Anolis sagrei: one gene and its partners. The protein of the gene in region 3 binds, or shares a complex with, the protein of the main gene of each other region. Links are inferred from orthologs where the notes say so. Each region holds a gene or a part of one and is shown on either strand. Other genes may lie near its edges.

Region 1 (11,230 bases), on a different chromosome or scaffold from region 3:
CTGTCCCCTGCCACGTGTTGCTGTGGCCCAGTCTGTTGATCTGGAAAATAAAGGGAATGAGAAAGTGTTGGTTTCTAATCTATGTAATTTCTTTATGCTTGTGGGTAAACAATATTTCTTGTTTCTTTCTCAGTGTTGATGTGGAGATGGTCTGGTTTGCCTACTCTGGAACATGGAACATATTATTGTCCTTCTTTAAGGATCCCTTTCAAATCTATGATACTATATCTGTGTGTGTGTGAATCATATGAATCTATATCTATGGTTGGGTGGCTCTTTGTCAGGAGGACTTTGTTTACGTTTTCTTGCCCTGATGAAGGGAGTTGGATTGGATAGTCTTAAGTAATTTCTGTCGGTCATGGGGGTTCTGTGTAGGAAGTTTGCCCTGATTCTGTCGTTCATGGGGTTCAGAATGCCCTTTGATTGTAGGTGAACTGTGAATCCCAGTGACTACAACTCCCAAATGTCAAGATCTATTTTCCCCCAAACTCCATCTGTGTTTATATTTGGGTCATATTGAGTGCTTGTGCCAAGTTTGGTCCAGATCCATCATTGTTTGAGTCCACAGTGCTCTCTGGATGTAAGTGAACTACAACTCCCAAACTCAAGGTCAATGCCCACCAAACCCTTCCAGTATTTTCTGTTGCTCATGGGAGTTCTGTGTGCCAAGTTTGGTTCAATTCCATCGTTGATGGAGTTGAACTATAAATCCCAGAAACTACAACTCACAAATGACAAAATTATATATATTTTTGAGTGATGTCTCACAACACTTCTTGTGTTGTGAGACATTTTGTTGCCAAATTTGGTGTGATTTCGTTCATTGGTTCTTTTGTTTTTAAGGAACTCATTATGCACAGAGCATTTATATATATATATAGAGAGAGAGAGAAAGAGATTGTACTATACCATTAGATTGTAATATTATTAGTAATATTATATGTAATATAAATATATAATTATTATATCATATTAGTAGTAGTATAAACCATCAAGCACTTTAAGGTCTTCCGGAGAGGCCCTGCTCTCGGTCCCACCACCATCGCAGTCGCACTTGGTGGAGATGAGAGACAGGGCCTTCTCTGTGGTGGCCCCCCGGCTATGGAACTCTCTCCCCAGCGAGATTAGGTCTGCCCCCTCCCCAGTGAGTTTGCCTCTGAGGCTGAGAGAATGTGACTTGCAATGCTTTTCCATGGCTGAGTGGGATTCGAATCTGGATCTTCAGAGTCTTTGGGAGCATCAATGCTACAGAAGGAATTCAGTTTGACATCACTTTACATTGCCATGGCTCAATGTTATGATTCTCAATGTTATGGAATGGTGGTATACAGGTCTTTAGGCTTCTACGCCAAAGAGTGCTCAGGCCTTGTCAAACTACAAGTTCCCATGTTTTCACAGCATTGAGTCATGGAGGTCAAAGTAGCGTCAAACTGCACTCATTCTGTGGTGTAGATCAGGCATGGGCAAACTTTGGCCCTCCTGGTGCTTTGGGCCCCTTCCACATAGCTGAATAAAATCCCACATTTTCTGCATTGAACTGGATTATATGGCAGTGTGGACTCAGATAACCCAATTCAAAGCAGTTATTGTGGGATTTTCTGCCTTGATATTCTGCGTTATATGGCTGTGTTGAAGGACCCTTGGACTCCACCCACCCCCCCCCCCCCACACACACACTTCCTAACAGCTGGTTTGTGTCCTATCACACTAATAAACAGGGTCAGTGAGCATGAGGCAGGACCTTCTCTGTTGTGGCACCTTCATAATGGAACTATAGTCAGACCTCCTCATTTGCAGGCTTGACTTTTGTGGATTTTATTATTCACAGGTTTGAGTAAGGCCATATAAAATCTAGATTATCTGCTTTGGACTGGATTATATGGCAGTGCAGACACACAATCCAAAGCATATAATGTGGATTATCTGCGTGGATAATCAGGACTGTAAGGTTTGCCTAAGTCCTCCAGTGTGATTCTATGGTCAACTTCTGCCAGAAATTGAATGTAGTGGATTATCTCCATCTCAACACTGACAAAGGGAGTGTGTCCCAGGTGGTGCTTCTAGACCTCTCAGCGGTCTTCGATACGATCAACCATGGTATCCCTTCTGGAACGCCTGGCGGGAATGGGAATCAGTGATACTGTGTTGCACTGGTTCTGGTCGTACCTCTCAGGCAGGTTCCGGATGATGGTGCTTGGGGATAGCTGCTCCCCAAAAAAGGACAATTGAAACCACCCAATGAACATGGGTAAATCTGAAGTCACATACTCTCAGCATCAAAAGAAGGCAAAAGCAAATTCCCTCTGAACAAATCTGGATAATACAACCGCATGATACATTCACCTAGGGGTTATAGTGAGTCAGAAATGACATGACAGCACACCACAACATGTTGAGTGGCCATCTCAAGCAGCAATCTGGTGTTGCAAAAAGGTAGTGAGTGAATTACGAAGATTTTTAATTTGTTGTTTTATATTTTTACTGCCAGGGATGATTAAAAAAGTACGTGAAGATTTTTTTATTGCATGAGCCAGAATAACCTGGCATCATTTATCACTTTGCCTCTAGCAGCAACATGTGTTTGACCAGCCCTGATGGGCAAAAAAGCACATAAGATAGATGTTAAACATTCTGGATCACACTTCATGGGAGATATGTGGTACACATTTTAAATATATATCTGTACTTAACATTTATTAAGCAAATTGACTTCTAGTGTTAGGACCTTATAAATTTAATGATAGCTGCTAGGGTTGTCAGTGCTAAATGTTTCAAAGACTACGTGTTTATACATAATTAAATTTGCTTAAGGGTAATTCCAGCTGCATCCTCAGATGCACGATGCGACATTCAAACTTCAAATATATATGTAGTTACATAGTTGTGGGAGTGGGATATAAGTGCAATGGGATACAACAACTGTATTAGGAACATAAATCATAAACCTTCCAAGGGCTTTAAACTGGTTTAGCACAAATATCTCAGCATCTGTTATTAGTGCACAATATGGTTGGCAAGTAACTAGCGTCAAAGCATTTTCTTTCCAGAAGTTTTTTTTTTTTGCTTAATGCATAATCTTATTTTAAAGAACAGGCTATACACACAGCCATAGTCAAAATTAACTATAAATGTAATGTAAGAAACAATCTTCAGACCTTTTGTATATAAAATGAGATTTGTTAAAGTCTCCCAATTTTTTTCAGATCTTCCCTCCAGATTCATTTGCTACACAATAATATCAAAATCTCTGACAAAACTGCAAAGTGTTCTAAAGTTGGTTTTTGTATGTATGTATGTATGTATGTATGTATGAATTGTATGTATGTATTTAGAATATATATATTCCACCTTTCTCACCCCAAAGGGGACTCAGAGTGGATCACAGAATATATGTAAGGCAAACATTCAATGCAGTTTATACAATGTCAAGACAGACAACTGTACATTTGTTGCTGTCCGTTCAGTCACTTCCAACTCTTTCTGAGCTCATGGACCAGCCCAAGTCAGAGCTCCCTGTCAGCTGTTGCCATCCCCAGCTCCTTCAAGGACAAACCAGTCACTTCAAGGATACCATCTTGCCCTTGGTCTGCCCCTCTTCATTTTTTCCTTCCATTTTCCCCAGCATCATTATTTTCTCCAAGCTTTCCTGTCTTCTCATTATGTGGCCAACGTACTTCATCTTTACCTTTAATATCCTTCCCTCCAGTGAGCACTCAGGTATTATTTCCTGGGGTATGGACTGGTTTGATCTTCTTGTGGTCCAAGGCACTCTCAGAATTTTCCTGCAACAACACAGTTCAAAAACAACTGCACATAGATAGAGGTATATATAGAATTTCCCATCTTTGGCATCTCGAAGGTTGTGCTCAGTTCTGGCCACGAGGGGTGCTGTCGCTCCATCATCCCTACTGAAAAGCTTTTGTTCATAAACTTCCTCCTTGATTGAATTGCCAGGATTTTTCTAGCATTTACTTACATATACCTAAATACCTCCATGCTTTTAAAGCAGCATCTATTTATCTACTCTCAATTGCTGCTTACAATCTGCTAGGTTGGTAGGAGCTGGGCTGAAGGCCAGGAGCTCACCCTGAACCAGGCATTGAACTGCCAACCTTCTGAATAGCCAGATTTACTGCAGCTGGTGGTAAAGTTGCTGGGCTAATATGTTTAGGATGGAGAAGAGAAGCCCAAAGATGCATCAACACTGTAGAAATAATGCAGTTTGACACTATACATTAACTGCAATGGCTTAGTGCTATGAAACGCTGGAACCTGTACTTTAGTGAACTATTAATACTCTGGAAGAGAAGTCTAGAGACCTTATAAAACTAAAGTTCCTGAGTCCATGGCACTGAACCACGGCAATTAAAGTGGTATCAGACTGAATTATTCTACAGCATGGAAGTGACCAATCTTTAATATCTTACAGTTGGGATTTTATTATTTTAGATGCACTATGATTCTATGATGTTAGGTATTTATTTATTTATTGTGTCATCATGATGTTAGGTGTGTCAAGATGATTTTCTTCAATAGGATGTGTCTTACTTTCCCTACATGTGATGAAGTATTTGTATTTCCTGTTCCTACTCCCACAATATGCCACTGCGTGTATGTCTGGATATTGTACCACCTCTTGAAGAAACAGACTGCAGCCCACAAAAGTACACCATAAAATAAACCAAATAATCTTATGAGTGTCACAAGTTCTCTCTTTCTCTCTGTGATTATGGGTTGGGTATCTTTTATTTGCTATTCCAAAATATGAAACATTCCTGATTCTGAAAACATCCACATAGTATCAACTTTGCTTTCTAGTGGTTCAATGTATAAAAACTTTGTTTCATGCAGTTATTAAAAATATTGTGTATAATGTTTCCGGCTATATGTATATGGTATATATGAAACTATACATTATGTATTTAGACTTGGATCCTATCTCCATGATATCTCATTATGTGTGTACATATAAATACAGATGTTCGCAATTCAGGGGGGGGGGGGGGGGATATGAAAGCTCCAACATTTGTGAGTCCCTTCAGGGAGAGAGGGCAGGTTAAAAATAAACTATTATTATTATTATTATTATTATTATTATTGCCCTAAACATTCCAAATAAATAATATTTAACCTGTATTGTGACAAACTAATAGCTCTTTGAAAATACAGCAATGTCTGTTGGCCTTTGTTCCCTTTTCTTGTTATTGCCTTAATAATAATAATAATAATAATTTATTTATACCCCGCCACCATCTCCCCAAGGGGACTCGAGGCAGCTTACATGAGGCCACGCCCAACAATACAGTAAAACAATATAACACAAGAACACAACAACAACAAAAAGAAAAGAAAATTGCATAAGATACAAAACCAATATAAATAAACAGAATAGCAATATAAAATCCGAGCATTAAAACACAGAATATTGATCACGGTGGGCATCGCCTTGTTATTGCTGGACTCCTTGTGTGAAGTACACCAATGCTGTAAACATCCAATGTACAATTGCCACATGCTAGTGAAATGTTCAATAAGTAATCTATATAAATAAAAATGTAATGTTCGTTGGTGGGACTAACATAACTCAAAAACCACTGGGCAAATTGACACCAAACTTGGACACAATACACCTATCAGGCCAATGAGTAACCATTACTCATAAAAACAATGAAAACTAGACTTTAAAAGCCAAAAAATACACTACAATGCATGCACATAACCACATTGTTCCCCTGACATTAAGTCCAGTTGTGTCCGACTCGGGGGGGGGGGGGGTGGTGGTGCTCATCTCTATTTCTAAGCCCAAGAGCTGGCATTGTCCATAGACGATGTGGCTGGCATGACTAAATGGAGCACCATTACCTTCCTGCCGGAGAGGTACCTATTGATCTACTCACATTTGCATGTTTTCGAATTGCTATGTTGGCAGAAGCTGGGGCTAACAGCGGGAGCTCATGCCGCTCCCTGGATTTGAACCTCCGACCTTTCGGTTACCAAGTTTAACAGCTCAGCAGTTTTACCCACTGCACCACTGGGAGATTCAGCGTAACCACATGTGTATTTATGCATAACCACATAAATACACATATACACAAATATATACACACACAAAACACATATACACAGACTGGGCCACAGCAACGCGTGGCAAGGGACGGCTAGTAAAGATATAAAATGGCAAAAGCGGGGGGGGGGGCAGAGATGTCTGTCTATTCAGCGGGCAGGCTATAATAAAAGTCTAAATAAATTTTACAAAGCCTAAAGTGCAAGTAATGATCTCATATAAGCAGCACAGCATGAGAACCTTCCTTTTTCCTCAGTATTAAACACAAGAGTTATGTTGTGTATATCCTTAGGCTTAAAAAGAAGTGTTTTTTTCCTGCAGAAGGCGCACTCTCTGCTTAGACTTCCTTCCTGGAGGAAAGGATTAGCCAGGGAGAGACTGAAAGAAAAATCCTTGCAATGCTTTTGAAGAGCCGATGGCCCTTTGCATCATGGTAGTTGTAGTTCCCTTTAAGAGGCTACCCAATCAACAAATCGGTGTGTCCAGCAAACTACATGTCCCAGAAACGCTTGCAAAGAAACACAATGGCGGGGTAGATTGCAAAAGCTGCTTTTACTTTTGATCAAAGTGCAGCAGGAAATATAACCCCTCTTTCTCTCGTTAAGTCCGGGACAATGTTTTCAATCTTTGGCATCGGAGGGGAGAGGAGTTTGGGTGTCATCTAAGGGTAATATTTATTCAAGGCAGCCATGCCCCCCTTCGCAGTCTTTTCCTCCTTTCTGCGGGGAATGCACTGCAATGACAAGGTGCTGGGGAAGTGGTTGCACTTGCAGCATAGGAAAGCGCGTGAAAGGACTTTGGGGTGCTTCAGGCTCGGGGCAAGCCCAGGGGAGTATATTTTGCACCCTAGAGTAGCCTCTGGGGGGCTACCACGAAAGGTGTGGACGCCAGCAGGGGCCTTGAGGGCTGGGAAAGGCCAAAACAGCTCCCAGGTCCCTGTGCAAAGAAGCCAGAAAGGAGGGACCTCTCTCTCAGCTGCTCAGAAAGGTAAGAGATGCCTATGGCTGTCAACCAAAGTTAGGCAATGAAGGCTGAAATGCTTCTGTCCTCTTACCTGGAAATAAACCTGAGTATTGCTTTCAGTTGATATGAATGGGGTGCATCGTGCCATAACTTTGGTGCATCCCCTTCCAAGGAGTGCATCTGCACTGCAGAATTAATGCACTTTAGTGCCACTTTAACTGCCAGGGCTCAATGCTATGGAATCTAGGGAGTTGCAGTATGGTGACACACCATGCTTTGGCAGAAAAGGCTAGGGCCTTATCAAACTTTTGTTGTTCATTCAGTCGTTTCCGACTCTTCGTGACCTCATGGACCAACCCACGCCAGAGCTCCCTGTCGGCCGTTACCACCCCCAGCTCCTTCAAGGTCAAGCCAGTCACTTCAAGGATCCCACCCATACATCTTGCCCTTGTTCAGCCCCTCTTCCTTTTTCCTTCCATATTCCCCAGCATAATTGAATTCTCTAAGCTTTCCTTTCTTCTCATGATGTGGCCAAAATACTTCATCTTTACCTCTACTATCAAACTTATCTACTTATCAAACTACGAGTCCCCAAATTCCATAGATTAAGCCATGGTACTTAATGTGGTGCCAAACCGCATTAATTCTATAGTACAGGTGCACCTTTGCTGTCAATTGAGCTGTGGTATCCTGCAAGATGTAGTTTTGCAAGGACTTTTGCCTTCTCTCCCCCAAGCATGCTGGATCCTCATCAAACTACAATTATTATACCATTGTATCGAGCCACAGCAATTAAAGTGGTACCAAAACGGCATTAATTCCACAGTGGAAGGAGGTGAATTTACAGATATGCTGTCCAAAGTTATGGTCTGAATGCCTGTCAGCCAAAATAGGTTTTTAATGTGGTACACAAAGAAAGCATATAAAGTATGACCTCCATACAACTGACATCAAAAAGCCGCACAACTGCACTTTGTACAGTTTAAAACTACTTGACAGAGTGCAAAAATATTCTGACACTTAGAGTCCTTCCACACAGTCATATAACACAGAATATCAAGGCAGATAATCCACAATATCTGCCTTGAACTGGATTAGCTGAGTCCACACTACCATATAATCCAGTTCAATGTGGATTTTATACAGCTGTGTGGAAGGGGCCTTAGTCTGTCTTTACACACTATAGAATTAATGCACTTCACTGTAGCATTAATGCAGTTTGAGCCCACTTTAAGTGCCATAGCTCAATGGGAAGTTATAGTTTGATGAGGCATTAACACTCTTGGACAGAGAAGGTGAAAGATCTAGTTGCCATGATTCCATAGCATTAAGCCATGACAGTTAAAGTGATGCCATTCTGCATTGATTCGACAGTGTAGATGTACCCTTAGGGACCATCCAGACACGCTCTATATCCCAGGATCTGATCCCAGGTTTTCTGTTTATCCCAGATTATTTGGCAGTGTGGACTCATATAATCCAGTTTAAAAGAGAAATCCTGGGATCAAATCTTGGTATATAGTGCCTGTATGGAAGGGCCCCAGATTATATGAGTCCCAACTGCTAGATAATCTGGGATAAACAGAAAACCTTGGATCAGATACTGGGGTATATTACCTATCTGGAAGGGCCTCAGATGAGAAGGAATAGGCCAACTTCACACTTTTTGAGGTTGCTGAGACATGTAAAGTAATTTCCATTGTTTTTGAAACAAAAGCTGCTACTTTCATATCTTTACCAAATTAGAGGAAACCACTAGGAGCATGCTGTGTTACCTGATATTGTATAACTTTTCTTTTTTTTCTTCTAGTGAAAGAAGCTGGAAGAGATTTCACCTACTTGATAGTGGTGGTAGTCGGGATTGGTGTCACAGGTTGTTGAAACTGGATGAAAACATTTTCCCAACTTACAAATGTTTTAAGTTTTGGCCATTTAAGTACACAAATTCTTGTGTCATTTACATTTTATTTCCCCTCTGTTTCAGGTGGTTTATTCTATGTGATTTTTAAAGAGTTGTTCTCTTCTTCCAGTCCTAGTAAAATCTATGGAGATGCCTTGGAGAAATGCAGAGCTCACCCTGAGGTTGGTTTGCCTGTTTTTATGAAGGAGTGTTTCTCTCTGAAAGAGTGCCCCTTTATGTGAAAGGAAGCTTTGCCTTCTAGAACTCTTTAAATGTGGGAATGAGTGGCTAAAGGTCTGTTTTTTGTTCTGCCAAAACAGGAGAACTAAATCTGGATTTTCTTAGCAATTTTTAAAATGTTATCACTACTGGAACCTGTCCTAGTAGTTAGGGAAAGTAGTTGCTTTGCAAAACAGCTACTAAAAGGAGACATATAGAAGGATCAATTTATACTATCTGAAACTGGAATTTTACATTTCACAGTATATTCCCTTTGCTAGGTAAAGCTACTTAATTAAGCTTTTATTTACTTAAAAAAACATAATCTATGCTATATAATTCATCAGACCTTATTTTCCATTGATAAAGGAGTCTGAATTTCACATAAGGTGCTGGAATTTATATTTTTGGAAAATGGAGAATCAGGTTCCTGCTTTTTTTCCCCTCCCTCCCTAGCCCCTCCTACACTACCATATAAAATCCAGATTATCTGCTTTAAACAGGATTATATGGCAGTGTAGACTCAGGGGCCTTCTACACTGCCATATAATCCATATTATCAAAGCAGATAATCCACATTATATGCTTTCTATTGGACTATATGAGTCTACACTTCCATAGAGCCCCGGTGGCGCAGCGGATTAAACCACTGAGCTGCTGAACTTGCTGACCAAAAGGTTGGCAGTTCAAATCCAGGGAGCGAAGTGAGCTCCTGCTGTTAGCCCCAGCTTCTGCCAACCTAGCAGTTCGAAAACATGCAAATGTGAGTAGATCAATAGGTACCGCTTCTGCAGGAAGGTAACGGCGCTCCATGTAGTCATGCCAGCCACAGGTGTCTACGGACAATGCCGGCTCTTCGGCTTAGAAATTGATAAGAACACCACCCTCCAGAGTCGAACACAAGTAGACTTAATGTCTGGGGAAAACCTTTACCTTTACCTACACTGAGTATAACCCAGTTCAAAGCAGATAATCTGGATTTTATAAGGGAGTGTAGAAGGTGCCTCATATAATCCAGCTCAAAGCAGATAATGTGAATCAACTGCTTTGATAGTCTGGATAGCAGTATAGAAGGGGCCCCCAAATCCCTGGGATTATTCTAGATCAAATTTAAGACCATCACATCACTCACTATAGTCTCATTTCAATACCTGCAGACTCCTCTTCCACCGCAAATAATCATGTAAATACATTTCTTCAACATCAAATCTCTTCTTTTATCTCTCTCTCTCTCTATTTTCAAATATATCTTCTTGTCTGATTAAGTGATCGGCAAATCTCAGAAGCTTTTGCATGTTTGTGGTTAGCATTACACTAATAGGGATTATAGAATTACACTAATAGGATATTATGTTAATAGGGATTTTAGAATTTTCTTTATTCGTTCTGTTGTCATGGATATTCCCAGAGATACTTGGCAGTATCCTTGATGAAAGAACAAGAGGCAAGACAGAAGTAGCATCAAAATACTGGGCAGGGAAGATCAGTTTACCCTGATTATCTAGCTTTAGTAATTTTTCAAGTGTGCTGTATTAATGGGAAAATCTTCCCATATCACCCCAGATGCCAAATAATCTCCTGCCTCAGACTCCGTGTTCAAATACATGTTAGGATGTACGTGTTAGTCTGGGTACCCATTCTTCACAGGACACCTGTTAGCCCCGATGGATGGTGGTTGCTCTGCACTATTGGACATTTTATGACCTATTGGAATTAAGTGCACCATAACCTTATTGAAAAGGTAAAAATGATGTCACATTCGTTTGGCAAATGTGAATCTCCGTGAACATAGAGACCACCTTTTGAAAACCACTAGTCAAGTAAAGCATGACCTTGTTAGAAGTCAGCCCTATGCAGAAGTAATATTCATAAACATTAATGTAATGGCACACAGGTAACTCGGCTGTTTAACTGAAGAACCATGTCTTTAAACTGTCAAGGATAAAGACATGCCACTATAAAAATATATTTGGTTAGCAGAGAATGGTTGTTTCTTTGAAGTAGAATTGCCCTTGAAACCTCTTAGTTAAAATATGCACTCAGAGATAAAAACAAAGAAATCGTCTTTTAAAACAACATCTCAA
Region 2 (10,338 bases), on a different chromosome or scaffold from region 3:
GTTGGGGGTGCTTTGATTGTGCTTTTCCTGTATGGCAGAAGGGGGTTGGACTAGATGGCCCATGCAATCTCTTTCATGTCTAAGCAGTACATACACTTGTGTCCAGATTTCATGTAGTTCTGTGTAAAGAACAAAAATGTTGGAGCCTCTTCAGTTTGCCAGTGTAAATCAATGAGGGGTGTGAAGAGGTAAAGAAATCCAGGGCCCTTCCAAAGAGGTCTTATATCCCAGGATCTGATCCCGGGTTTTCTTTTTATCCCAGATTATCTGGTAGTGGGGACTCATATAATCCAGTTTAAAGCAGAAAACCTGAGATCAGATCCTGGGATATAGGGCCTGTCTGGAGGGGAGAAAACAGGTGACAAGAGAGAGGAAGAAGGTATATGTGGGCAATGGAGGATCCTTCCACACAGCCCTATATCCCAGAATATCAAGGCAGGAAATCCCACATTGTATGAGTGTGGACTCAAATAACCCAGTTCAAAGCAGATATTGTGGGATTTTCTGCCTTGATATTCTGGGATATAGGGCTGTGTAGAAGGGCCCTTCGTCATAACCTTCGTCAAAACCTTGAGGAAAGAAAGGAAGAACCACAAAGAAAAGAGTGAACCCAGCTATAGATACAGAGCCCTTCCACACAGCCCTATGTCCTAGAATATCAAGGAAGAAAATCCCACAATATCTGCTTTAAACTCGGTTATCTGAGTAATAGAATCATAGATTCATAGAGTTTGAAGAGACCTCATAGGCCGTCCAGTACAACCCCCTGCCGAAAAGCAGGAAAATTGCATTCAAAGCACCCCTGACAGATGACCTTCCAGCCTCTGTTTAAAAGCTTCCAAAGAAGAAGCCTCCACCACACTCTGGGGCAGAGAGTTTCACTGCTGAATGGCTCTCACAGTCAGGAAGTTCTTCCTGATGTTCAGATGGAATCTCCTTTCTTGTAGTTTGAAGCCATCGTTCTGTGTCCTAGTCTACTAAAAGGTCTGGGGTGCTTTGATTGTGCTTTTCCTGCACGGCAGAAGGGGGTTGAATTGGATAGCCCCTGGGGTTTCTGCTACTACTACTATTAAAAAGTCTGGGTGGTCATCTGTCTGGGGTGCTTTCATTGTGCTTTTCTTGCATGGCAGAAAGGAGTTGGATTGGGTAGCTCCTGGGGTTTCTGCTATTACTACTACTACTACTACTAAAAAGTCTGGATGGTCATCTGTCTGGGGTGCTTTGATTGTGCTTTTCTTGCATGGCAGAAAGGAGTTGGATTGGGTAGCTCCCGGGGTTTCTGCTATTACTACTACTACTACTACTACTACTAAAAAGTCTGGATGGTCATCTGTCTGGGGTGCTTTGATTGTACTTTTCTTGCATGGCAGAAAGGAGTTGGATTGGGTAGCTCCTGGTGTTTCTGCTATTACTACTACTACTACTACTACTACTACTACTAAAAAGTCTGGATGGTCATCTGTCTGGGGTGCTTTGATTGTGCTTTTCCTGCATGACAGAAAGGAGTTGGATTGGGTAGCCCCTGGGGTTTCTGCTGCTGCTGCTGCTGCTGCTGCTACTACTACTACTACTAAAAAGTCTGGATGGTCATCTGTCTGGGGTGCTTTGATTGTGCTTTTCCTGCATGGCAGAAAGGAGTTGGATTGGGTAGCTCCTGGGGTTTCTGCTATTATTATTGTTGTTGTTATCATTAATAATAATAATAATAATAATTGTCCACACTCAGATAATGTGGGATTTTCTGCCTTGATATTCTGGGATAGAGGGCTGTGTGGAAGGGCCCCTAAATAATAGTGAAAGAATGGATGAGGCTTGTGGAAGGAATGTGAGCTCAGGGGCTTTGGGGCTCAGCCAAGTGCTTGGGGAGCCCGTTTGGCTGCTTCTGGTGGCAACCAGGGAATGGCACCCGGACCCCATCCTGCCAAACACATGTAGGGTGGGCACCCCGTGAATATGAAGGGGGGCAACCCCAGATGCGACTCACCAGCAGCAGCAAGAGCAGCAGCAGGCAACGTTTGGGGAGGGAGATGAAGCCCAGGTTGTGGCTGCTTCCAAAGCGCGCAGGGGAAGGCACAGGTGAGGGCGCAAAGCTCTCCATCGCGGTGCCCACCGCGTCTCCTCCCTGGAAATCCGGCCACGGAGGAGGAAGGAGATCCTGCTTCCTGGACATGCCTCCCAGGACGAGGAGGAGGAGGAGAAGGAAGCAGGAAGGGCCGCCCAGACTAGGCAGGTGCAGCCACAGGCACCCGAAAGCACTCCCCGGCTCAGGATCTGTTTTTCTTGCGCCTCTGGCGCTTATTCTTGGAAAGGTGCCTTTCCAAGACTTCAGCCAGTCCTACACCTGAAACACACCTTTCCTGCAGACTTGATGGTTTCTTTTTGAACCAGAATTCACCACCTAAGCTCTCTTCTTCCTCCCTTTGATCCCCTCCTGGCTGTGCCTATTTCTTCACCCTGAAAGGACAAAGTTGGGTGCCTCTTATCCAGGACAGGCAGAATTCATGCTTTCATTGCCATGGCTCTCTGGAAGCATGGCTTTGCAGTTTGGGGAGGCTCCAGAACTCTTTGGGAGAAGAGACTAAGTAAAACTACAGCTCCCATGATTCTATAGATCAGTGGTTCTCAACCTTCCTAATGCTGTGACCCCTTAATACAGTCCCTCATGTTGTGGTGACCCCCAACCGTAAAATTGTTTTCGTTGCTACTTCATAACAGTCATTTTACTACTGTTATAAATCATAATGCAAATATCTGATATGCAAGATGTATTTTCATTCACTGGACCAAATTTGGCACAAATACCCAATGCAACCACATGTAAATGCTACTGGGGTTGGGGGAGGATTGATTTTGTAATTTGGGAGTTGTAGTTGCTGGGATTTATAGTTCACCTATAATCAAAGAGCATTCTGAACTCCACCAGTGATGGATTTGAAGCATTCTGAACCCTACCAATGGTGGAATTGAACCAAACTTGACACACAGAACGCTCTCGACCAACAGAAAACACTGGAAGGGTTTGGTGGGTGTTGACCTTGAGTTTGGGAGTTGTAGTTCACCTATATCCAGAGAGCACTGTGGACTCACTCAATGGTGGATCTGGACCAAACTTAGCACAAATAGTCAATATGCGCAAATGTGAACACTGGTGGAGCTTGAGGAAAATAGACCTTGACTTTTGGGAGTTGTAGTTGCTGGGATTTATAGTTCATTACAATCAAAGAACATTCTGAACTCCACCAACGATAGAATTGGCTCAAACTTCCCACATGGAATCCCCATGACCACCAGAAAATACTGTGTTTTCTGATGGTCTTTGGCGACCCCTCTGACATCCCTTCGCAACCCCTTCAGGGGTCCCGACCCCCAGGCTGAGAAACACTGCTATAGATAGATCTATTTATTGAGTAGTCCACTGACCATATCAAAAATAAAAGACAAAAACAAAAGCACACAAATAGATACTAGTCACTATCTTAAAACTCCTGGCTGGCATCACTGGGTTGCTGTGAGTTTTCCAGGCTGTATGGCCATGTTCCAGAAGCATTCTCTCCTGACATTTCACCCACATCTATGGCAGGCATTCTCAGAGGTTGTGAGGTCTGTTGGAAACTAGGCAGGTGAAGTTTATATATCTGTAGAACGATGCCCAGGATGGGAGTAAGTACTATTGTCTGCTTGAGGCAAGTGTGAATGTTGAATTGGCCAGCTTGATTAACACTGAATGGCCTTGTAGCTTCAAAGCCTGGCTGGTTGCTACCTGGAGGATCCTTTGTTGGAAGATGTTACTTGGACCCAACTTCTCCCTGTCTAGAATTCCACTGGGTTTTTTTTAGTGTTGCCCTTTATTTACTGTCCTGATTGTAGAGGGCTTGTAGCCAGATTTTGTTCATTATCCTGGTTTCCTCCTTTCTGTTGACATACTTGTGGATTTCAAAATCTACACTCAGGCCCCTTCTACACTGTAATATAAAATCCAGATTAACTAATTTGAACTGGATTATATGGTAGTGAAGACTCATATAATCCAGTTCAAATGAGTTAATCTGGATTTTATATTACAGTGTAGAAGGGGTCTGAGTGTAGATTTTCCCCAGAAAGAAAATAAGACAGGTTGGCAATTGGATCCCAGTTGGCTGTTCTAGCCCCGTAAACTGTGGGAATACTGTCTGGACTGCAGTATTCTGCAGTCCAGACCTGGAAATAGTGGATTTATTGCGTGCCTTCCAAGAAGGCATGAAATAAATCCACTATCAAATTAATTCACTACAAACCAGTGCATGAAACAATGGCTTCAAGCTACAGGAAAGGAGATTCCATCTAAACATTAGGAAGAACTTCCTGACTGTGAGAGCTGTTCAGCAGTGGAACTCTCTGCCCCAGAGTGTTGTGGAGGCTCCTTCTTTGGAGGCTTTTAAACAGAGGCTGGATGGCCATCTGTCAGGGGTGCTTTGAATGTGATTTTCCTGCTTCTTGGCAGGGGGTTAGATGGCCCATGAGGTTTCTTCCAAGTCAATCATTCTATGATTCAATGATAAGCATTCAACCTAATCCAACATGGCTCTTTCTCAAAAAATATTATATAAAGTAGTGAGGAACAGCAATGAACAACAACAATGTAGAACAATGGTTCTCAACTTTCCTAATGCTGCGACCCCTTAGTACAGTTCCTGATGTTGTGGTGACCCCAACCATAACATTGTTTTCGTTGCTACTTCATAACTGTAATTTTGCTACCGTTGTGAATTGTAATGTAAATATCTGATATGCAGGATGTAGTTTTATTCACTGGCCCAAATTTGGCACAAACACCCAATGCTCCCAAATTTGACTACTGGGGGGTTGATTTTGTCATTTGGGAGTTATAGTTGCTGGCGTTTATAGTTAACTTACAATCAAAGAGCATTCTGAACCCCACCAATGATGGAATTGAACCAAACTTGGCACACAGATCTCTCACGATCAACAGAAAATACTTGAAGGGTTTGGTGGGCATTGACCTTGAGTTTGGGACTTGTAGTTCACCTCCATCCAAAGAGCACTGTGGACTCAAACAATGATGGATCTGGACCAAACTTGGCATGAATACTCAATATGCCCAAATGTGAGCACTGGTGGAATTTGGGGAAAATAGACATTCGGGAGTTGTCGTTGCTGGGATTTATAGTTCACCTACAATCAAAGAGTATTCTGAACCCCACCAATGATGGAACTGAACCAAACTTGGCACACAGATCTCTCATGATCAACAGAAAATACTTGAAGGGTTTAGTGGGCATTGACCTTGAGTTTGGGAGTTGTAGTTCACCTACATCGAGGGACAACTGTGGACTGAAACAATGATAGATTTGGACCAAACGTCTCGAATACTCAATATGCCCAAATGTGAGCACTGGTGGAGTCTGGCGAAAATAGACATTTGGGAGTTGTAGTTGCTAGGATTTATAATTCACCTACTATCAAAGAACATTCTGAACCCCACCAATGATGGAACTGAACCAAACTTGGCACACAGATCTCTCACGATCAACAGAAAATACTTGAAGGGTTTGGTGGGCATTGACCTTGAGTTTGGGAATTGTAGTTCACCTACATCCAGAGAGCACTGTGGACTCAAACAATGATGGATCTGGACCAAACTTGGCACGAATACTCAATATGCCCAAATGTGAACACTGGTTGAGTCTGGGGAAAATAGACATTTGGGAGTTGTAGTTGCTGGGATTTATAGTTTACCTACAATCACAGAACATTCTGAACTCCACCGATGATAGAATTGGGTCAAACTTCCCACACAGAACCCCCATGACCAACAGAAAATACAGTGTTTTCTTATGCTCTTTGGCGACCCCCCAGGCTGAGAAACACTGACGTAGAAGATGTTGGCCAAATGAGGAAGTGAATCTGTTCAGCTGACAGTGAAGCATGGGTTGTTCCCCTTTGCGGCCACGAGGGGGCGTTGCAGGGAGGTGCTTACATCCAAACTCTTCCTGTCCCGGAAGCGGAAAGAAGGCTCCTGTGGAGTCGTGCGGGCTCTTTGCAGAAGCTTCTTCTTGCGTGGATGGCGCGCCTGCCTCGCACCCTCCTGGTCTTCGGGGGCTTCGTGGGCCTGGTGGGGGCGGCCCTGTACCCCATCTACTTCCGGCCCCTGATGCACCTGGAGGACTACAGTAAGTCCTCTCCTCCCCCTGAACTGATCCTGCCTTAGGCAAAGCTCCCCTAGGATGCTCCAGAGCCCTCTGCTTTGGACGCCCCCTCCCAGGAGCCTCAGCCAGCCTGGATGATGGGAGCTGCAGTCCAAAACATCAGGAAGGTCAAGGCTTAGGAAACACTAAGCCAGCCCAGCTTCCAGGCTTCAGGCCCACAAAGGAAGGAAGGGCCAATGTGCATGCCCATGTGATCAGCAATGTCATCCTGTGGGAATTAGGTAAAGGTTTTCCTCTGACATGAAGTCCAGTCGTGTCCAACTCTGGGGGTTGCTGCTCATCTCGAAGAGCCGGCGTTGTCTGTAGACACCCCCAAGGTCATGTGGCTGGCATGACTGCATGGAGTGCCATAACCTTCCCGTTGGAGCAATACCTATTGATCTACTCACATTTACACGTTTTCAAACTGCTAGGTTGGCAAAAGCTGGGGCTAACAGCAGGAGGTCATGCCACTCCCCAGATTTGAACCTGCGATCTTTCGGTCAGCCATATAGTGTTTGGGTGTAGTAAAATGTGAATTAGTAGAACCCTATACGGTTCCAGCCCAGTTTACTTATCCCAACATATCCTCCCCTATAATAAATAATAATAAACTTTATTTATACCCCGCCACCATCTCCCCGATTGGGACTCAGAGCGGCTTACATGAGGCCAGGCCCGAACAACAATTACAATAAAGAAAACCCAAGACACAACCGAAAATGCGAACAATAAACAGTAACATCATAATTACATAAAATATGTGGATACATAACAATATAAAAAATTACAATAGACACAGGCACAGTGACAATGGGTGGGCTACATGTAACGATTAAAAGACAAACTGATTAAAACTAATTAAAAACTAAGACAAGAACCATCAAGGCTGTTAAGATGTCCTGGAGGGGCCCTGCTCTCGGTCCCACCACCCTCGCAATCGCGTCTGTTGGAGACAAGAGACAGGGCCTTTTCTGTGGTGGCCCCCTAGCTATGGAACTCTCTCCTGATTGAGATCAGATCTGTCCCCTCCCTCCTGACCTTCAGGAGGCTAGTGAAATCCTGGCTATGGAACGAGGCATTCTCAGAATGATGGCGGAGACTGGCAATTGATTAAAGTTATCGACCACATATGCAGACTGAGTGGGACGTGATTTTATCTTGCCGAACTGTCTTTTATGTATTTTAGTCTATATGTATTTTAATTTATTGTACAATGTTTTAGATTGTATTGTTAGCATTCAATCCTTGCTATTAGCCAGTCTGAGTCCCTCTATGGAGGTAGAGAAGATCGGGATACACAAGTTTTAAATAATAATAATAACAACAACAACAACAACAATAATAATAGAAGCTCAGCTATAATGCGTACTGCCGATCTGAAAAGATACCATCAAATTTAAGACAGTCAATGAACAATACTGGGGTTCTTACATATACTAATCCTTCCTTCATATAAAGGATATCTTACCAACTCGGCCACCTATGATTTTGAAGAGAATTATCATGACAACATTAGGACTAATAATCAAAATTATTTTAGTATAGAATATTTTTTAAAAAAGAAAATGACATAGAAAGTGGTTGGCCCATTGGAACTGAAGGTACCCATCTTCATTGCAGAAGATATAGAGCAGTGGTTCCCAACCTTTGGTCTTTCGGGTGTTTTGGACTTCCAACTCCCAGAAATCCCACACATGGAGCACAGTTACCTTCCCACCGGAGCGGTACCTATTGATCTACTAACATTTGCATGCTTTTGAACTGTTAGGTTGGCAGAAGCTGGGGCTGATAGTGGGAGCTCACCCCGCTCCCTGAATTTGAACCTGCGACCTTTCGATCAGCAAGTTCAGCAGCTCAGCGGTTTAACCCACTGTGCCACCGGACCACTGTAAAATAAGATGGAAGTCGCCCATCTGTGAATGGTTAACATGTGAAAGGGGAAAGGGTGTAACCCAGGCATGGGCAAACTTGGCCCCTCCTGGTGTTTTGGACTTCAATTCCCACAATTCCTCAGATAATCCAGATCGAAGCAGATATTGTGGCATTTTCTGCCTTGATATTCTGAGTGGAAGGGCCCCTAGTGTCCTGGTTCCCAACATGAGGCACACACCCCACAGGCGGGCAATTTGAGAATGAGTTCTTACCAGTGAGTATTTTGCATTTCTTATGGTTCTAGCAGGCCTCATACACAGTATATCAATATATATTGTGCCATACAAATTTTAAAAACTAAAATCAAAATGTACACAGTGGTCAACAGGTGGCAGTGGAGAGGGGGAAGACTCTCTGATATAGAGCATGGAGTTCACTAGCGAGTGCATGAACACAGAAAAGTGAAATAACTTCCATTCCAAACACGCCACTCATCTTACTGACCTTCCAGACAGGCCTATACCCCAAGATCTGATCCCAGGTTTTCTACTTTAAACTGGATTATACGAGTCCCCACTGCCAGATAATGTGGGATAAACAGAAAACCTGGGATCAGCTCCTGGAATATAGGGCCTGTCTGGGGGGGGGGGGGGGGGCATAGGCTGGATTTACACTGTTCTATATTCCAGGATCTGATCACAGATTATTTTCTTATCCCAGATTATCTGGTATTGTAAACTCATATAATCCAGTTCATTGCAGACAATCTGGAATCGGATCCTGGGATATAGTGTAGTGTAGACTCAGCCTCAGTGTTCTTTTAACATTGCAAGCTATACAAAATATATCAAAATATATTTTTGTTCAGCATTTGAATATAGCAAGAAATCTGAAAAAAAAGTCCAAAACACAACGATTACTTTCATATATAAGTCAATGTTTTGTATGAGTAATAATAAAAAATATAATCAGCTGCAAGAAAATTAATGTCAGTTGACAGGATATTCCCGCATAGTCTCACCAAATACTGTACATGAAGTTGGACACTTATATTACCCTGAATTCGATGCAGATGACTCAAATCAATTGTGCCTCGAATATGACTACTGCCCATGTGATAGTTGTTCTATTTTATTACTTAACTTTATCAAGCACAAATTGTATTCATTAGCAAAAACTGGCATTGTCAGGTTTGAGCATAGCAATCTCACATTTTTCATTCCCATGATTTTTCCTGATATCTTCCTGGCTACTTAGAATACTTGGTTTTTGTTTTTGAAAAAGAGCCTTTTTTAATAGATAATGAGCATAGAAAGAGCATGCATTGAGACAGCATTAACTGTCAAAAAATGACATTGACCGTATTGTCAGAAAACCTACAAGCTGAAATTTTAGACCTAGCTTCACTCTCTGTGGCTCTTTCTACACTGCTTTATAATCCAGATTATCAAAGCAGATAATCTGGATTTTATATGGCAGTGTAGAAGTTGGCTTTTTGAATAATACAAACTGTATGTCGGGGAAAATCAGGATTTTAGGGATGCTATTTGAGAATAAGCCACCCCAAACTACAAATCCCATGATTCCATAGCATTCAGGTATGACAATGAAAGTGGTGACAAACTGCATTATTTCTACAGTGTAAATCGGGAATGGGCAAACTTGGGCCTTCCAGGTATTTTGGACTTCAACTCCCACAATTCCTAACAGGCTGTTAGGAATTGTGTGAGTTGAAGTCCAAAATACTTGGAGGGCCAAAGTTTGCCCATGCCTGGTGTAGATGCACCCTGATGTCTGATGCTCTGCTCAGCTCCTGGAAACCTAGTGATAAGGTTGCTTTATTTAAGGTACACAACAACAAATGTTCCTTTTGCTGCGAGTATACTCATATATCATAATCAAATATGAGAAACAGATACATGTTACTTTCTTTCTGCAGAATAGACCAATTTTTCTTTTAAATTGCTTCCGTTCCCCCAATTTGGAAATGATGAACAGTTCCAAACAAAACTCATCAGACTTTCCCCATTTCCATGACTCGCTGTCTTCTCCTTCCTTTTGGATCCCTTTTTTAAAAGGATGGATATACAACTGTTGTGACCTATGCCTTCTTTTCTAATGCCAACAGAGGGAGCTCAATCTGTTCTTAGCACTTTCAGAACATATAAAAATGTGATGTGGTATGTTCTGCCGTGAAATGCATTGCAATGCTTCACCCTCACCCCAAAGCCTAGAAGAAAGAGAAATCCAAGTGAGAAAACAAAAGATGATGTGAGTT
Region 3 (10,234 bases):
GCTTCTGGTGTGAGAGAATTGGCCATCTGCAAGGACATTACCCAGGGGATTCCTGGATGTTTTACCATCCTATGGGAGGCTTCTCTCATGTCTCCAAATTAGAAGAAGACGGGAGCTCACCCTGTTCCCCGGATTTAAACTGCCAACCTTTTTTTCAGCAGCCCTGCTAGCACAAGGGTTTAACCCACTGCACCACTGGGGGCTCCTTAGTCTTGTCATGACATACCTGTATAATGGTGCTCTGAATAGATTTTACTAGGGGAAAAAATCCCCAGTAATCTATCAATCACAGCTCCAAGATGTTGAAAGCACTGCATTGGCACAAGGTGGCTTCGCCCACGATTCACCAGAAAAACATGCCTGGAAAGTAAGGAGAGCATAGACTTAATGTTTCTGACAACCTATGGGAGAGAAGCAAATCTGGTCAGTGCATCATCCAATTATGGATATAAATGGCTTATTGTTGCCACCAATGAGCCATGAGAGCTACTGTCACTTTTGTAAATATCAGATAATTTACCATCCTCCAGCTCAGATCTTGAAGTTGATTGTGAACCTTGCTAACAATCATCTTCCAAGATATGTGCCTTGGATACTGTCTTTCCTTTCCTTCACTGGAAGAATCTTGGTTACCTAAAGTAGCATGTTTTTTCCCTTTAGGTTTGTTGTCCTGACACAAAATGACCACTCCATTTTTAGATGTCACTTTTGTTCCTTTATTAAAATCTGTGATAACTTTCCCCTAGGAATTCCTAGGTCTTCCAGCATGACTCTGTGGTCACCATCTGATGGAAGCTGACTATAGAATTGCATTAGATAATCTAGATTCCATGAGAGGTGTTATGTCTAGCAATCTCTAGGTCCTCAAGGATCTAGAGATGCGTAGAAAAACATTTAACATCAAATCTGTAAACAATCAAATCTGAAAAAGTAAAAAATACAAATGTGGAGGGGTAACTATAATTTTCTCTGCTGCCTGAGGGCCCTTCCAGACATGACTAAATCCCAGGAGGAACTGAGAAATTAAATCCCAGTTCTTCCAAGGATTGGGTCCCCACCCTGAATGCAAACCCCACACTTTCCTGGGAAAAATAATATCTCTCTGTCCTAGGAAACTGCCACTGTCTTCTAACAATCCCTTAACTTTTTAATGCTATTAAACTCCACTTACTTTTGCTTCATATTGAAAGTCTCCTCACTTTCATTAGTGTTGAATGCATTTCACAGAAAAATGCTTGGGGGAAAAGTTAAATACACTTTATGTTTTGAAAAGGTGTTATTGGACTGTGTTTTGTTCATCTTGGAGTCCAGAATCAATGTTTTAATTTTTTCTTAACCACACCTTTCAACAGATTACAATTTGCCTTTATTTCAGCAGTGGAAGGTGTGGGGACTTCAGAAATAGATAATTAATCTCTATTTCTATCTATAGTTTCATAGTTAACACTGTCTTGGTTGAAGTGTAAAAACACATTCGCACTTGAGGAAATGGGTGATTAGTTGATCAAATGACAATATGAATGGTAGACAAACATAAAAATGGCTGCAAGGTGGAGCTATTTGTGAGCAGGCACATTCTGTACACAGGAAATATATCTGCTGTCATTGACGTACTGCACTTCTCAGAGACCTCAAGCACTTCCAAAAGTTTTCTTCACACATGCACTAGAAAAAGATTCTCGTCTAGAAGAAGTCTGATTTCTAAATTCATTCTTCGTTTCTGTCTGTTGATCCAGGAAGTAACCCCTTTTTTAACAGACCGGTTTTCACAGAGTATCTACACACACTATTGCTTCAAGTAAGTCCCATTCCATTCAGTGGCCCTTCCATACTAGTGGCAGATCTACATTGACCCATTATCATAGTGGCCAATCTGGGATGGTTTACACAACCACCTCTCCCCTGGCTACTGCAGAAGTGGGAGGGAGTCCTGACTGCCCAGTAATACTGAATATGGATTGGTGCGCCAGATGGCCACCCTTTACATACCTTCCTTTTTTCCAGGCGCAACGTGGATCCGGGTAGCAGTCTCCAGACATGATATGCATCCTCACAGTCAATCGTCACTTTCAGTGATGTCAACAGGACCGACTGGTGACAAAGGACGGGGGAGCAGAGTAACTGCCCACTCTCTTTCCTGAGAGAGTGGGCAATTACTCTCCTGAGGATTGTCTTGTCATTCAAGTCGACGTCACAGTAGGAAATTGTTGATCCGAAGGACACATATCATGAATAAACAGTTCAGGTCCAGGCTATTTGTCAAATCGCATCTCCCAGTATAGACTATCATGTGCATTGCAATCTACAGAGGAGGCTCTCCTCTCAGTCCCATCCCTATCACAAGCTAGGTTGGTGGGAATGAGAGAGGGGGCCTTTTCTGTGATCGCTCCCCGTCTCTGGAACTCCCTCTCTTTGCTCCCCGTCTCTGGAACTCCCTCTCTAAAGAAATAAAAACAGCCCTACCCTTGTCTCCTTTAAGAAAAAAACTCACCTATACACTTTAGCGTTTGGAGAGGAGGAGGATTAGGATTGCTGGCTAATCTACGTGTATTAGGCGGTTGTTATGATATATTTTAAATGAAACACCGTTGTCAGCCGTTTCAATGTAATATCTTATAATTTGTGTGGGTGTACATTGTAATGTTTATTTATGTTTTAGTTTTTATGTCTTAATGGATATTTCTTGTTTTTATTTTATTTTGATACTTAATTTCTTTGTTATAAGGTTTCTGTTGTTACCGTCCATTATTTTGATTTGTCTGCAGCTTCAAGGCTTGGCTGCTTCCTGCCTGGCGGAATTCTTTATTGGGTGGTGATTAGCTGGCCCTGGTTGTTTCTTATCTGGAAGTAAGAAACAATTTTGTTCCTTCCCTAAGAACATCGGTCCCCACCTGCTGGCTGGATGATGAATCAGCACTCTACAGGTGGCTGCTAGGCCTCATTAGGCCTCGATTCACCAATCTAGATTACCAGAATAAATGAACTCTGACAGAATTTCTGGCATTTTACTTCTGGACTCTGACAAATGGTATTTCTGACTTCTTGACTCTGACCTTGGCTTCATTTTTACCCTTGTATTGAAACCTGACCCTACTGCTTTTCTGACTACTGACATTCTTGACTCTGGATTGTGACCTTGGCTAATGACTTTGTTTCTTGGCTTGGAACCTGACTCCTCTGCTTTTCAGACTACCGGTATTACTGTATCTGAACTGTGACCTTGACTTCTGTTTGTTCCTGACTTGACTCTGTTGCTTCACCAGCTTGACTTCAGCTTCTTGGACTTTGAATCTTGGCATAGGCTTACACTTCCTGAATCTTGGCATAGGCTTACACTTCTTGGTTTTGGATTATTGGCTTTCGCTGGCTTACTCCTTACTAAATGTGACATCCTGCATATGTAACAAAGCTTCTGACAGAGAAGTTCCTTTTTACGCCTACCCCTTTTCCTCTCTATCTGGAAGGAGCAGTATTGTGAAGATGCTGAAAAAGAGCAGGATAAATACAGATTTTCAGTGTCATGTTGCATAAGCATGTTTTCAGTAAACTATGTAGGAAAACCTTGAGGTGGGAAGAATATTCTGCTCTTTCTGATGCACCTGTAGTTGTGTGTGCCTGCCAGCAACAGGCAAGATAATCAGCAACTGTCCAGAATCTACAGAACAGCAAAACAGAAAGAAAAGGAAAAGCAGAGAAGACTGCCTCACCCCCCCCCCCCCCCATAATGTTAAAGAACGATAAAACTGGGTTGTTGTGTGTTTTCCGGGCTGTATGGCCATGTTCCAGAAACATGTTCTGGAACATGGCCATACAGCCCGGAAAGCACACACAACAACCTAGTGGTTTCGGCCATGAAAGCCTTTGACAGACCATAAAATGATTTGTTTAACCAGTTCAAATGAAGATCAAAAGAAAAGTGGGAGCTGCTGAAAGAAGAAGAAGAAATATTTGGGTGCATTTTGAAAGAATTTTTCAAGTAGCCTCTATAGAGTTTCAAAATGTTTTTATGTGTGTGTGTATATATATATATACACACATTCCAGGATATATGACTATGAACCATAAATGAATTTTGTGTTCAGACTTGGGTCACACCTCTAAGATACTTCATTATGTACAAATATGCAAATAAAATATGGAACCTGTAGTACATTTTGCCTTCTTGTTGCCAAGTCACACATATTGTTTGCAGGCCTCTGTTTCCATCTGTAAAATAAATTTGGAGGATATGGAGCTGTTTTAGGCAATTATTTTCTGTGGACATAATCTGATCCTGCCAGAATTTGCTGAACATGACTATTACGTCCCTCTTACTGAAATGTGGAATGCATGATCATTCTGAGTTAAGCACAGATACAAAGGTGCATCTGAAGGCATGGACAAACTTCAGCGCTCCAGGTGTTTGGGATTTCAACTCCCACAATTCCTAACAGCCGGTTCAGTACTGTGCACTATTCAGATCATTGAAGGTTACCAGATGTTTGCTATATAATGCATTTTGTTGTGGTTTAAAATTGTTTGAAATGTTTTTATGAATTTTGTTGTTATTTTAACCATGTTGAAATTCAGGCTTGTCCCCATGTAAGCTGCCCCGAGTTCTTTTGAGAAGATGGAGGCGGGGAACAAAAATAAAGTAGTAGTAGTAGTTGTTATTATGATTATTATTATTTGAAACACAACGAATTCACAGCAGACAAGATCACTCTGCTGGCTATTGTATTGGATCACACGTCGAACACTTCCCAAGTGTCTAGGACTGTGTGATGGATCGGCAAATAATGCATGCAGATCTCAGTAAGGTGGCCTTCTGCAGCTGGCAGATGGTAATCTTGTCAGCACTGATTGTGTTTAAGTACAGGCCAAGGTCTTTAGCACTGCACTCATTGTGCCGATCACCACTGGGACCACCTTGACTGGCTAGTGCCAGACTCTTTGCAGTTCAATCTTTAAATCCTCATATTGTGTCAGCTTTTCCAGTTGTTTCTCTTCAATCCTGCTGTCACCTGGAATTGCAACATCAACAGTCCATACTTTGTTTTTTAACATGATTGTGAGGTCAGGAGTATTATTATTATTATTTAATGACACCGCTTTAACTGGCACAGCTCGATGCAATGGAATCATGTCACTTTACAAGGCCTTTTATCTTTTCTGCCAGAGTGCTGGTCCTTCACAAAACTACACATTCCAGGAGTCCATTGCACTGAGCCATGACAGTTGAAGTGGTGTCAAACTGCATTGATTCTACAGTGTAGATGCACCTCATGACTCTGTAGACTAGGTCTAGATGACTTTGGAAAATATCTTATCCTCTCAAGACACAAAAGGGAAGGCAAAGGCAAGACTTAGCTTTCTCTGAACAAATCTTGCCCTGGAAATCCTTTGAAAACAGACTTGAAGGCGGGCAACTAACGAGATTGGAGTTGGCAATTCAGTTCCTGCGCAGGCGCAGAAGCACCGTCTGATTGAGAAGGCAGTCCTTTCTTCGCCCTGCTCTAGTGATGACAACGGGGGCGGGACGTACTGAGCATGCGCTGTAGCCTAGCCGGAAATGGTGGACACGCGAGGAGAGAGCGGAGACGGAGAACGTCCCAGAAGTGCGAGCGCTTTTGAGTAACTTGTTGGGCGGAAGGGCTGGGCTGAAGGAATCTCCCTTTCCCTGTCTGTAAACTGACTCTTCTCAAATGGAGATTCCTGGGGGTGCATCTCCTCTGTAGAATTAATCCACTTTGTCACAGCTTTAACTGACATGGCTCAATGCTATGGCTTTTCGCCTCCTCTGACAAAGCGTACTAGTGACTAATCAAACTACAAATCCCATTATTCCATAGAATGGGCCACTGACAGTTAAAGGGCTGCCAAGCTGCATTCATTTCAGAGCACAGATCAGGCATGGGCTAACTTGGGTCCTCCAGGTGGTTTGGACTTCAACTCCCACAATTCCTCACAGCCAACCGACTGTTAGGAATTGTGGGAGTTGAAGTCCAAAACACCTGGAAGGCCCAAGTTTGCCTATGGCTGGTATAAATGCACCCTAGGTATAGATGCTCCCAAGGATTAAGGGACTCCCCAGTGCCACAGCGGGTTAAACCACTGAGCTGCTGAACTTGCTGACCGAACCATTGGCGGTTTGAATCCAGGGAGCGGGTTGAGCTGTTAGGCCCAGCTTCTGCCAAACAAGCATTTTGAAAACATGCAAATGTAAGTAGATCACTAGGTACCGTGGGAAGATAACGGCGCTCCATGCAGTCATGCCAGCCACATGACCTCGGACGTATCTATGGACATGGTGCACCCTTACCTTCCCATCTATTGATCTACGCACATTTGCATGTTTCGAATTGCTAGGTTGGCAGAAGCTGGGGCTGAGAGCGGAAGGTCATGCCACTCCCTGGATTCAAACCTGCGACCTTTCACTCAACAAGCTCAGCAGCTCAGTGGTTTAACCAACTGCATCACGGGGGGCTCCCAGAATGAGTGAATAGTAGGAGAAAAATTGCTCAGTAATAATTATGACGGAATTCTTAAGACTGTTAATATGCTGCACATATCATTAAGAGGAACGCTATATACCATATTATCTTATAAAGTTGTAAGTTTGAAGTTAAGTTAAATGCTGCTTGGAAGTTTTTTCCAGGAAGGCAAAATAGAATCCGGGGAGTGGGGTGAGCTCCGGCTGTTAGGCCCAGCTTCTGCCAACCTAGCAGTTTGAAAACAAGCAAATGTGAGTAGATCAATAGGTACTGCAGGAAGGTAACAACACTCCATGCAGTCATGCTGGCCACATGATCTTGGAGGTGTCTATGGACAATGTTGACTTCAGCTTAGAAATGGAGATGAGCACCACCCGCCACAGTTGGACATGATTAGACTTAATGTCAGGGGAAACCTTGACCTTTACTAGGATTATACTCTGGAGAAGCTGGTTTCACAGCCATTTGTATTGAGAGCTAGCTCAGATATACCCTCCTGCTCATTAAGGCAATTGGGAATGTATTTCCCTTCTTCCTGTGTAGAGTTGCTAGTTAGTGTTCCCTTTCTGCTATGTAGAGTTGCTAGTTAGATTTATTAAGAAATACATGGTTCTTGGAAGTTTTATTTGTTTGGTTTTGGAGCTAGTTATCAGAAAAACACAGCTCCTTGTTTTACAGGTTGAATACTCCTTATTCAAAATGTTTGGGACCAAAACTATTTTGGATTTCAAAATTGAGATATCTTGGAGATGGGACCTAAGTCTACACAAAAATCATTTATGTTTCATATACACTTTATACCAGGGCTCAACAAACATTTTAATCAGAGGGCCAGGTCACAGTCCCCAAGGCTGTTGGAGGGCCGGATTATAATTTGAAAAAAATGAATGAATTCCTATGCACACTGCACATATCTTATTTGTAGTGCAAAAACACTTAAAATACAATAATGAAAATGAAGAACAATTTTAACAAATATAAACTTATTAGTATTTCAATGGGTTGTGTGGGCCAGCTTTTGGCTGGTGAGATAGCGTTGTTGTTGTTGTTTTGTGCTTTCAAGTCATTTCAGACTTAGGTTGACCCTGAGTGAGGGCTGGGTAATGACCTTGGAGGGCCGTATTCTGCCCCCGGGCCTTAGTTTGAGGACCCCTGCTTTATACACATAGCCATGAGGCTGTTTTATACAATATTTTAAATACTTTTTGATTTGTGTTCTTTAAACCATCAAAAGCAAAGGTATCACTCAGGCAACACAAGTGGAGGGTTAGTCTTTTATAGTATTTTGGATTTTGACGTTTGGGAGAAGGGACGTTCAACCTGTATTTAAAGTGTATGTCATAGGTAGCCAAATGGACACAGGAACATAGGAAGCCATGTTGCATTGAGAGAGTTTGATTGCCCAAGGTCACTCAGTGGCTTTCCGTAACTTAATAAGGATTCACACCTTGGTCTCTGTAGCCCCATCTACACTGCCATATAAAATCCAAATTATCTGTTTGGAACTGGATTATATGGCAGTGTAGACTAATATAATTCAGTTCAAAGCAGATTTTATATGGCAGTGTAGATGGGACCTAAGAGTCATAGTACAATGCTCAAATCACCACATTGTTTCTCTCTAGAGATCCATGGCATTTTCTTATATTCCCCAATTCAAGTGCTTGTTTATTTACAGTATTTTTTCATGGGACTGTGAAATGGTTGTTACTATAGGGTCTTGCCTTTGGCTGTGATTAAGATCCCTGAAGCTACTGTCTATATAGGAAGAGAAGTCTCGATTGGTGTCAGGGAAGGGATCGCTCCTTTTACAAGCAGCAGCTTTGGGGAAGCTTTTTTTACCAGGTCACAGCAAAGGGAATAGGAGCCCCTGGTGGTACATTGGATTAAACCCTTGTGCAGGCAGGACTGCTGACCGAAAGGTACATAGTTTGAATCTGAGGAGCAGGGTGAGCTCCCATCTGTCAGCTCCAGCTTCTCATATGGGGATATGAGAGAAGCCTCCCACAAGATGGTAAAACATTCAGGCATCCCCTGGGCAACGACCTTCCAGACGGCCAGTTCTTCCACACAAAGAGTGACTTACAATTTCTCTATTCGCGCCTGAAATAAAAAAGCAAAGGGAATTAACATCTTCACTGTCCTTTGCAGTTCCATTTTCCCTTCCTTCACTGCTTTTTTTTCATTCCATTCACAGAGTTATCATTGAATATAGTTTGGTCCTTAAATTGATCTATTGAACTATAAAGTCTAGGCTTGGTAATCTATGGAATTATGGGAAAAAATATGGATTTATTTTCAGTGACCAAAAATAATGTCACGGAGAATGGCAGTAATGTACTGTACAAGTGAAGGCAGGGTTTTTTTCACAGTTGAATCTCTTGATATATATCAACCAGCAGTTTTCAGATCCCGATAAACTACTACATTCCCAGTTTATTTAAGCACTCCATCTCAGTATTTTAGTCATAGTTTGGGAATATATTGATTATAGTTTAAAGAATCTGAATGAAGTTGCCACAAACCCAAAGCCGCTCTTAATATATGCAATTCTAGTCAGTTCTACATTTAATTGCAACTTAACATTTAAATAGTGCTTGTAACTGGATTCAAAACACCGATAAATAGCAATGCCTGGCTAGTGTTACTCTTCGCTAAAGTGAGTGCTGACACGCGTTTTTATCACAGCTAACATAGGCTATAGAAATTGCCACTTGAGAATGGAGAAAAGTGTTCATCCTGTGGTCTACTTTCAATTCTTAAAGCTTACCTTCTGTCTGTTCAACCATATAGTGGCAGTCTTGGCTGCAGTCCTTTCATCCTGATTCCAGATACATGTTTTATGTTCATCACTTAGCTCCCATGTTTATTTGTTTTGTCCTACCCACTGCACCACACCCCATAGTGTCATACAGAGGGAGGCCAATCTTCTGTTTTGTGTTTTCACCTGTCCTATAAAAACACTTCTTGAGTTTTGAGGAGCTCTATACTGCCAGGTTCAGTTAAGGCACATTCTCACCTGTGACTAGTAAGTGTATGACTGATATATGAATGTCGGAGACCTTACTCTTGGGACCATTCTTTCTAGCTGCAAGATGTTCTGAAAAAGCAGTGTGTTTGGCTTTGGCAATGTTAAACTCCTTAAGTGACTGCCATTGCCACTCCATTTTTGCTGTTCTGTGTATCTCTGAGGTTGCAATGAATGTGGCAGTAATGCTTGCATATGTATCTTTAAAAGAACAAAAAAAAAAATTGGTTCCTTCAAAAAATATTTTTAAAATCAAAATGCTTGCTAATGTTTAAAGACGAATGCTTGTCTTCTAAAAATCTTTATAAAGCCACAATCTTTTACTTGTGGATAAACCAAGGTAGTGTGCAGCCAAGGCACAAGATCCCTTCCATTCTCCTTTGGTGCTGCTTTATTCCTGGAATCTTACGCAGCAACTATAGCCAAAAATGCCAGCTGTGAATTTTTCATTGTGTAGACTTCACCAATTCTTTAATTATTGGAATCTTTTCTGCAAGATCCATATCTCGATAATGTTCAGTTTATTATATAATATTGATGGATTCTACATTTGGCTGCTCTGAAGATAATTTTGAAACTCAGATGTTACTAAATGTGTAATTATATATTTTAACAAGTGTGGGTTGCCAAAATTAGGATGCAGTCAATAAAAGATCTACAGTATGTCAGTTGGCTGTTACTTCTAGGTCTGATCCTGATTTTAATTTTAAAGCTCATATAAAAGTAAAATGTG

Evidence for each region.
Region 1: CMC1 (region 3) and TIMM21 share a complex: the UniProt entries of both Homo sapiens proteins name them as parts of the MITRAC (mitochondrial translation regulation assembly intermediate of cytochrome c oxidase complex) complex. The link is inferred for Anolis sagrei from reciprocal best matches to the Homo sapiens genes CMC1 and TIMM21.
Region 2: CMC1 (region 3) and SMIM20 share a complex: the UniProt entries of both Homo sapiens proteins name them as parts of the MITRAC (mitochondrial translation regulation assembly intermediate of cytochrome c oxidase complex) complex. The link is inferred for Anolis sagrei from reciprocal best matches to the Homo sapiens genes CMC1 and SMIM20.

The regions. Positions count from the first base shown.
Region 1 is NC_090024.1:72,467,852-72,479,081, forward strand, and holds the start of TIMM21 (mitochondrial import inner membrane translocase subunit Tim21), read left to right. Parts: upstream 1-6,543; 5' UTR 6,544-6,753; coding exon 6,754-7,051; intron 7,052-8,837; coding exon 8,838-8,900; intron 8,901-9,011; coding exon 9,012-9,109; intron 9,110-11,230. UniProt on the Homo sapiens protein: Participates in the translocation of transit peptide-containing proteins across the mitochondrial inner membrane.
Region 2 is NC_090025.1:112,996,902-113,007,239, forward strand, and holds the start of SMIM20 (small integral membrane protein 20), read left to right. Parts: upstream 1-5,979; 5' UTR 5,980-6,061; coding exon 6,062-6,170; intron 6,171-10,338. Other genes in the region: SEL1L3 (protein sel-1 homolog 3), read right to left, coding at 1,985-2,170.
Region 3 is NC_090026.1:83,825,803-83,836,036, reverse strand, and holds the start of CMC1 (COX assembly mitochondrial protein homolog), read left to right. Parts: upstream 1-5,491; 5' UTR 5,492-5,551; coding exon 5,552-5,597; intron 5,598-10,234. UniProt on the Homo sapiens protein: Component of the MITRAC (mitochondrial translation regulation assembly intermediate of cytochrome c oxidase complex) complex, that regulates cytochrome c oxidase assembly.